2 linked regions of the Astyanax mexicanus genome follow. The protein of the gene in region 1 purifies or fractionates together with the protein of each later gene. This does not show direct contact. Links are inferred from orthologs where the notes say so. Each region holds a gene or a part of one and is shown on either strand. Other genes may lie near its edges. The genes, in order: vps4a and zfyve19.

Region 1 (3,925 bases):
CAAACAAGCTCCATAATTTGCTGTTCAATGCTGCTTTATAATCTAGAAAAGGAACTGTGCTCTCCTGTTGGTAAAAAAAAGTAGTAATTCTAGCTACACCATAACTTTAATGAAATTCCACCACTACAAAAAAAAGCATAAACATTGCATTTTCGAAAACACAGCACATTAAGGCCACATTCACGTTGGCTATAACAATTCAGTTTGTACACTTTCATTACGGATTAAATCACAGTTCTCCTAAACTAATTTAATAACAAATTTAGGATTGCAAAACTAGTAGTTCTAAAAAGACACTGAAAGTGTCTTAAAGCTATCAAGCTAACAACTTGGATCTGAGAGCATCCACAATTAGCTGTATCGGGTAGGTGGATGGATTATTTCATTCCCTATCTTAAAATGTGTTGTTTAAACAAGTATTCAATTTCCAGATCCATTAGTTATCTAGTTAATTGAGTTATCTGTTATAGATTCTACCTAGTTAACTATGTTAGTTTGTTAGCTAACTTGAATTTATAGAATTTTCCCATTACAGTACCAGTGTGTAAACCTACCTCCACCATATGTGGATGCTGAACTGTAACCTGAGAGTTATTTATCTGCTTTACAATGATGCTCTGCTGCACCTGCAAGAGGAGATTCATCTGATCTACCCAACATCATAAATTTGGTTCTCAACAACATACAAACATCTGCAATTTTTTTTATGAAATCAAGAGCGACTTTCTAATCCACATGGGGATGACCACTTTAGTTTGAAGGGCATGGTTAAAATAAGAGCCTGGGGTCGGCTGGTCTGGAGCCAGCTCCTGATCTACCAGGATAGCTTGGAAGATGTTACTAAAAACCAAGCACTCACTGGGTTATCTGTTTCACCCTGTTTATACAGAAGCAGGAACATCTGGTAAGTGCAGCAGAGCTTGTAGGTGCTACTAGGGGAAAAAACATGGCTTCTAAATGAGCCATAGGTCATTTAATATTTTAAATGTGTTTATCTACAGGTTTGTGCAGACATTTCTGAGTTGAAGCTGAACCTGTTCTCTGCTCACAGCTTGGGCTCCAGACGGGGAAGCGATGCTTGTATGTGCTCCATCTCGGCAGTTACACAGAGTTGGTACATGAGAAGGGACAGAGTAGCCCTTTCTATGCAAGGGTTAATTAGCGTCTCGTAAAGATGGCCCAGACCCAAGGATGATGGGCAGGAGGCCAAGCATAAAAGGCAGGCCTCCATAACTGAATATCACTGTCGTGAATCTCCGGTGATCAGGCCATGAGCCCAGAGTAACAATTCACCCCAAAGAACAAACTCAGGGTTCTCTAAATTAGCAGCAGCAGCAGTGAAGTTACAGACCAAAATCCAACAAAGAATTCAGCATAGAATCCAGTGGAAAAAAAAACTAACATAGAATCAAAACATAACACTATCCAGCTCTGTGAGGGCAGCAACTTTGATGCACGTGAAGAGCTAAGTATGGTCTCTCTCTACACAAGAGGAAAAGAAGGGCAAGTGACAGTAGAGACTCAGGCTGTAGGAAGAGTGGGGCAAAACAAATTTAAAAAGGACCTAATGTGCAACATGGGGCTTCTGCCGGCATGCAAAAAGCTAAGATGGCCCATGTATAATAAAATAGTGTTCATCCTTGAATACATTTTTTTTTACCATCACTGACCATAACTTCAACAACCGTAACTATTTTTTTTTTACCATTAAACACTGTTTATTCTATTATAGGAAACCTATAGGGAACACCTGCCTGGGCACTTCACGGGAAAACCTTATACAGCACTGCATCCAATCACATTTGATTGATTGTACAATATCAAATTATTCTTGATGTAGAGGCACATCATCCTACCTAACCCCTTGAATGCGCCAGTAATTAAAATGTCTAACCAGGTGCTTCTTCATCATGGTTCAACACCCACACACCAACGCTGTAAATGACTTGGTTCCGGGCATGAAAAGTGTTTAAACCAGCATCTTCCCCCAGTCCACCTTATAAACAGCCTGGCTGCTCCGTTCAGGTGCTGTACAGTCTTTACCAGGTAACGGTTAGATTTAAGGTGGACCAGAGAGATATACATCCACCATCTCGCAGCTCAAACAGCGCTTGCTGAGCTGCTAACGTTACTGGAGCTGCAGGAGAAGCGCTGAGGTCAGGCTCGCGGTGAATCCGCGCTGACAGAACCAGAGCTGATATAAAAACTCAGTTAATTCAGTAAAAACAGAACCTGAGGAGGAAGCACTAGTATTAGCATTAGCCTGTGTACCTGCAGTGTTGACGTTGTCATTTCATCTCAGTTCGGCGCCGTTTCGCTCCAGCTTCGAGTTAGGTCAGCTATAAGGTCTGAATGTGGGTGTGATATGAAGCGCGAGCTTATATTAAACTGAGTTTTATTATAAAAATATAATTTAATAATCGGAGAACCAAACAGAACAGCCAGCAGCGCCCACCATAGAGCCCATCAACTGCGCAGAGAGCGCGGGTTACAGGAGCGGTGCTGCCGCCCTGCGGACAGGATGTGGTAGTACAGGTTAGCATATTGTTATTTAATGTTTTATTGGTTTTAAAGTAATTACAATGTACAGGAAAATAGCACATTAATCAATCTCAACAAACAACAAACAAACTAACAAACAAACAAACGAAAAGATTTGCTAATAGCACACAAAAAAAGAATAAGCACCAGTGTTATAAGCACTAAAAAGATTCTATAAAATAAAGCGATCAATACAGAAGTATAAGAAATGTTGCATAGCTATTCATAAAAACTAAAAACGCACCGCAGCACATAATACAGTATTTCAATTAAGTGTGCACCCCCTGACATTTTTGTAAATGTTTATTAAACATTTTCACTTTGATACAATGTAAAGTAGTCAGAGTGCAGCTTCTATAACAGTGTAAATTTGCTGTTCACTCAAAATAATTCGAAACAGCCATTAATGTCTAAATCACTGCAAACAAAACTAAGCACACCCAAATTAGAAACATTCCCTCCCCGGTGTCATGTAAGGTAAATTGTTACGAGGTATAAATGTGTAAATTGGGAGCAGGTGTGTTAAATTTGGTGTTATCACTCTCACACTTTTATACTTGTCACTGGAAGTTCAACATAGCACCTCATAGCAAAGAACTCTCTAAAAACGCTGAAGCTTCTTAATCTTCTTATTCGCCAATGTCTTGTTCAGATTTCCGTTCCACCTTAAATGCTGGCTGAACATACATGCGGCCGCCTGTAGATGGCGCATTTTAACAGTAAAAAACAGCATGCAAGCAAAGCGCTGTGCAATATCTCACGAGGCTGAAGTTGGTTTGATATTCGCAGCTCCAGATTCGTTTGGCTCGATATTCGCAGCCTCGTATTCCCCGGCTGAAGTTGGTTTGATATTCGCAGCTGCCGCTTCACTGAAGCACCGTGAACTAAAGGGAGCGTTCACAAACACCCGCTGTTTATATTAAACACCTCACAGATCAACACTGAAGGAGATAGAATGAAGAAAAGCAGTACAGCTGTTTATTAACAATGTAAATATACAATATATTATTAAATATAATTTTGTATATTGTAAAATATTTATTTTAATTACTGAATTTATAATTATATATTACAATAAATAATTAAATATATATTTAATAAAATTATATTTTAAAAGCCATTGCGCTCAAAAAATATGAGGCAGATGTTCAAGTGTGATTTTGAAGAACTTTTTCATGTTGGGCCAGAACAAATACACATGATCTAAAGAGTACTAGTCTTCTACTTTAAGAAAAACCTGGAATTAGCCTGGCCCAAGCTGATTTTATACTTTAAAATGAACTGGCAACATGGAATAACGATCCATAATGCACAATTTTTTTATGTAAAGCTGATGTTCCAGTGTGATTTTGAAGGACTTTTTCATATTGGGCCAGACCAAATA
Region 2 (3,925 bases), on another chromosome or scaffold:
AGCTAACTACCTGTTGGAGTACTCAAAATAAACCATGCATTCGCGAAGCTAACCTAAATTACACTGAACTGTGATGTCTAAGCTTTATTAAAGTCATATTGACAGTAATTACATTCAGGCACCCACAGCCGGTTAGCATTAACCAGCTAACCTGCAACTGCAACGGTCATCTAACTAACAGTCACTACAGAAAACTACAGTCTTCCCGCAGACAGAAACATTATATTATATATCATCATACTTACGTGCTTCTCCCTTTATATTGCTTGCGTCTCTGGTTTACGGTACAATACGTTATATAAAAATTATATTAAAAATCCAGTCTTTTTTTGTTCACTGCTGTTCTCAGAGAGAGTCCGTTTATCTTCAGGCTGAAAATATTTGAACGAAAACTGGGAGGAGCCTAGCCTCGCGCTCATTGGCCTATCCTGCTCACGTGACCGAAACCCAGCGCCTCATTGGTGGACTTTTATTTAACCCTTTCAGACCCGAATTAAGAATAGTAAGAATGCTGTTTTCTGTTTGTATAGCACAGAAATATTCTTTAATATTCTACTATAAAATCTAACGTTATATAGCAAACAAATTGAACTAACTAAAATATTTAATAGTTTTTATTTTATTACTTCTATTGCATTGGAACCCTGTCTGTAATATTTTATTTTTATATTGATATGTTATTTCAATATCCATGCCTAAATAGTAAAAACATGATTAAAAAGGTGTTCTAAATCACATTAAATTAAATAAAAAAAATCTGTTACTGATTTGTTGTTTGTATAAGACCTGTTTTTGTTTAGCTTGTAAAACGTTTTTTTTAAATTATTTTTTTATTATTATGTATTTATCCTGGATGTCCTTGTTTTCATTAGGATGTTTTTGGAAATTAATAAAAAAAACAGCCTGTGTGGATATTTAAAGATAAAAATAATAATATTGCAATTAAAACGATTAAAATAAATGCAAAAAAATAATAGATGTTTTTTTTTTCAGTTTTATTTTTAACGTACATATGAAATAATTTTCATATTGTCGTGTATTTTTACAAATGGTCGATCGCTTTAAATTATTTTTATTCATTTATATATTTAAAAACGTCTAATCGACACCAGAGTGTCTTTACGTTGTTTTTACAGGCATGCTGGGTAATGTAGTTTAACATCGAATAAAAGCATTTTTTCTTTACTGTAATACATTGCTGACAAACACAAATGCAACTAAAATAACAGTACACGCGTTAATGTCCTATGTCCAAATGTTTAAATAAAAAAAAAACGATATTAGAAAGTTTTATTAGCCTTTATTGTTCTGAGGTGGACTACATTTACCGTGAGGCTTTGCATCACGCTTCCTGTGTTTTCCTTCCTTAAACATGTAGCTACAGTAGGACCTAGGCTGAAATGTCTGCATTTTCAGGCCTCGCTAGTGGTTTAAATGTTAATTTGGTGATAATTAATATAAATAAATGTGAATATTAGTGAATAATAGTTACATTTATGTAGCTCGTTACGGCTTATGTTCTCTGAACTGTTTGTTTATAAATGTGGACAGTCTTTTCAGTGTAACTTAACGTTTAATCAGATATAGTAGCTTATTAATTATCAGCTATGAATAACCGCTGTTATGGCTGTGCGTCAAAGTTCACTCTCTTCAAGAAAGAGGTATGTATTTGTGTATCTGCGCAGGTTAAATATATATTAAATATATGGGCGTGTTTTATATATGTTTATGTATCTAAATGAATAGTGCTTGTGTTGCAGATGGGCTGTAAAAACTGCAGCCGCTCGTTCTGTTCAGGCTGTCTGGAGTTCAGTGCTCTGGTGCCCCGGTTCGGTAACACTCAGCAGAAGGTGTGCAGGCAGTGCCACGGGAACCTCACCAGGTAAAAACTCTTATTTTAGTGTTTATTAAGTTGATTTAGGTGTATGCTTGCTGATATATAACTAGCTATGGCTTGGGGGGGAACTGTGACACATGATGTCTCACGTGATAATAAAATGTCCTTTTGTTGTTTGTTTTTTTACAGTAATGGAAAACAGAATGATGCTGCAAGATGGTCTCCACCTGAAAACTATAAAAAGTAAGATTTTGAAAAAAAAATATGAATGAGTTCAGTATAACTAAAATTCACAAAAAGCCACTTTTGCCGCTTTTGTCTGTGTCGTTTAAATAGCACAGGCGCATGTGGATATGTATGAATAATTGTGAGCAAGAACAGAAATCCTATCGTCCCCCCGCCATCAGCAGCCGGAGCACTGAGAGAGCACAACTGCTCTTGCTCTCTCTGGGTGGGTACAGTACAGTAGATGGTGCTCTCTCTTTCTCCTCATCACTCCTAGGGTGATGTGGATCAGCACAAGGCTGCGTCTGTGAGCTGATGTATCAGAACCGAGTCGCTGCGCTGCTTTCCTCCGAGCGTTAGCGCTGTGATGCTACTCTGTAATGTTCAAAATAAGGGCGGAGTCTGACTTCACATGTATGTTGTTTTTATTATTACAGACGAGTTGCTGCTCTTGAAGCCAAACAAAGTCAACCTCCGAATCAACCCCAAAGACAGAACAGTGGGAAGAACTGCATATCCGCTCCTATTTCAACAAAAGGTTTGAGTAAGGAGGACCGAGTTATCGCAGAAAGACTTCAGAAGCTGAAGGAGGAAACAAAGCCAAGTAAGACTGTGATAATACTGTGTTTTAGTCAACTGAGATGTTCTTCACCAGATAAGATAAGCAAAAATGGAAATTTTGTTTTGCATGTCATATGCAGAGTCCATACCGTCTGAGCGGGAGATTGAGTCTCGCCTCGCTGCTTTAAAAGCTCCAGACCAGCCGGTGCCTTCAGCTCAGGACATGGAAGATCGATTAGCTGCCTTACAAGGAAAGCCCCCTCCCTCCCAAGCACCACCTCCAGTACGTGCAAGGATTACAGTTCATGCTCATATTACTGTATTTTTCACAAAATTAAAATCCTTTAATTTTCCAAAAAATCGTCAGTATTTTATCGCCTTATGTATGTAAAGTAAAGCCACTCCACTGAAGTACAGCGTTAAAAAAGTTTCAGGAAAGTTTCTCCAGCACTAAGGCTGGAGCAGTGTTAGCATTAGCTGCTAACCGCAACGCTAGCTCTTTCGCAATTTAGAGGTGAGTAAATCGGACTGTAGTCGTACTGATAATTTCTGTAAAAATGAAAGTATTTTCACTGCGCCTTTAGTTTAGTTGCGTGAATTTAGTTTACCTGATTTCCGTGTTTTTTGAATTGTGGAAAGAAAACCATGCAGATAGGGACTTGACCCTAGACCCTAGTGCTGGGATGTGTAATGCATAAACCCTCTAATTTATGTATCTAAAACAAAAAATGTATATATATTAACTAATTAAAATGTAATAATGTGGTGGTAAACATATTCTGATCTATCAGATTTTTTATATCACTAATCCCTAGCGAAATGCATGTATGTGTGGACACGTGCAATGCATGACACTGTCCCTCTAAGAATGGGTGATATTCACAGATCTCTTATGGAAAATATGACTTAGGCTCAGAGAACCAGACATATATGATTTATTAATGTTCATATGGATGTTTTTCATGTGATGTGAGACATGTATGCACTCAGAATGGTGTTTCTGCTTTGCGCAGGTTCATCGGCCACCTGATACCAGGACTCAGACTGAACAGGCCAGTGACTTACTCACGCAGATGACTGAGGAAGTTGCCATTGACAACCAGCATTCTCCAGAGGGTATTTATTACACTGCCTTATTTAGAGCCGCGGTGTCAAACTCCAGTCTTGTTTTTACCCGCCCCACTGATTTCATAACAACAGTAACTGTAAAACTCTCTGTAAATTCAACTGGGTGTGTTAAAACAGACAAACAGCTTTATGCGATTTGAGTTTTAGACTCGTACAGTACCAGTCAAAAGAGTG

The links.
Region 2: the proteins of vps4a (region 1) and zfyve19 purify together in Homo sapiens (affinity purification with mass spectrometry; 3 studies listed by BioGRID and IntAct, counting the BioPlex papers as one, with this or other methods). This does not show direct contact. The link is inferred for Astyanax mexicanus from reciprocal best matches to the Homo sapiens genes VPS4A and ZFYVE19.

Annotation. Positions count from the first base shown.
Region 1 is NC_064417.1:11,206,837-11,210,761, reverse strand, and holds the start of vps4a (vacuolar protein sorting-associated protein 4A), read right to left. Parts: upstream 2,490-3,925; 5' UTR 2,293-2,489; coding exon 2,272-2,292; intron 2,019-2,271; exon of another isoform or gene 1,913-2,018; coding exon of another isoform or gene 1,895-1,912; intron 627-1,894; coding exon 555-626; intron 1-554. UniProt on the Homo sapiens protein: Involved in late steps of the endosomal multivesicular bodies (MVB) pathway. Recognizes membrane-associated ESCRT-III assemblies and catalyzes their disassembly, possibly in combination with membrane fission.
Region 2 is NC_064421.1:47,599,688-47,603,612, reverse strand, and holds the start of zfyve19 (abscission/NoCut checkpoint regulator), read left to right. Parts: upstream 1-1,352; 5' UTR 1,353-1,607; coding exon 1,608-1,661; intron 1,662-1,760; coding exon 1,761-1,882; intron 1,883-2,026; coding exon 2,027-2,080; intron 2,081-2,499; coding exon 2,500-2,666; intron 2,667-2,763; coding exon 2,764-2,906; intron 2,907-3,636; coding exon 3,637-3,739; intron 3,740-3,925. UniProt on the Homo sapiens protein: Key regulator of abscission step in cytokinesis: part of the cytokinesis checkpoint, a process required to delay abscission to prevent both premature resolution of intercellular chromosome bridges and accumulation of DNA damage.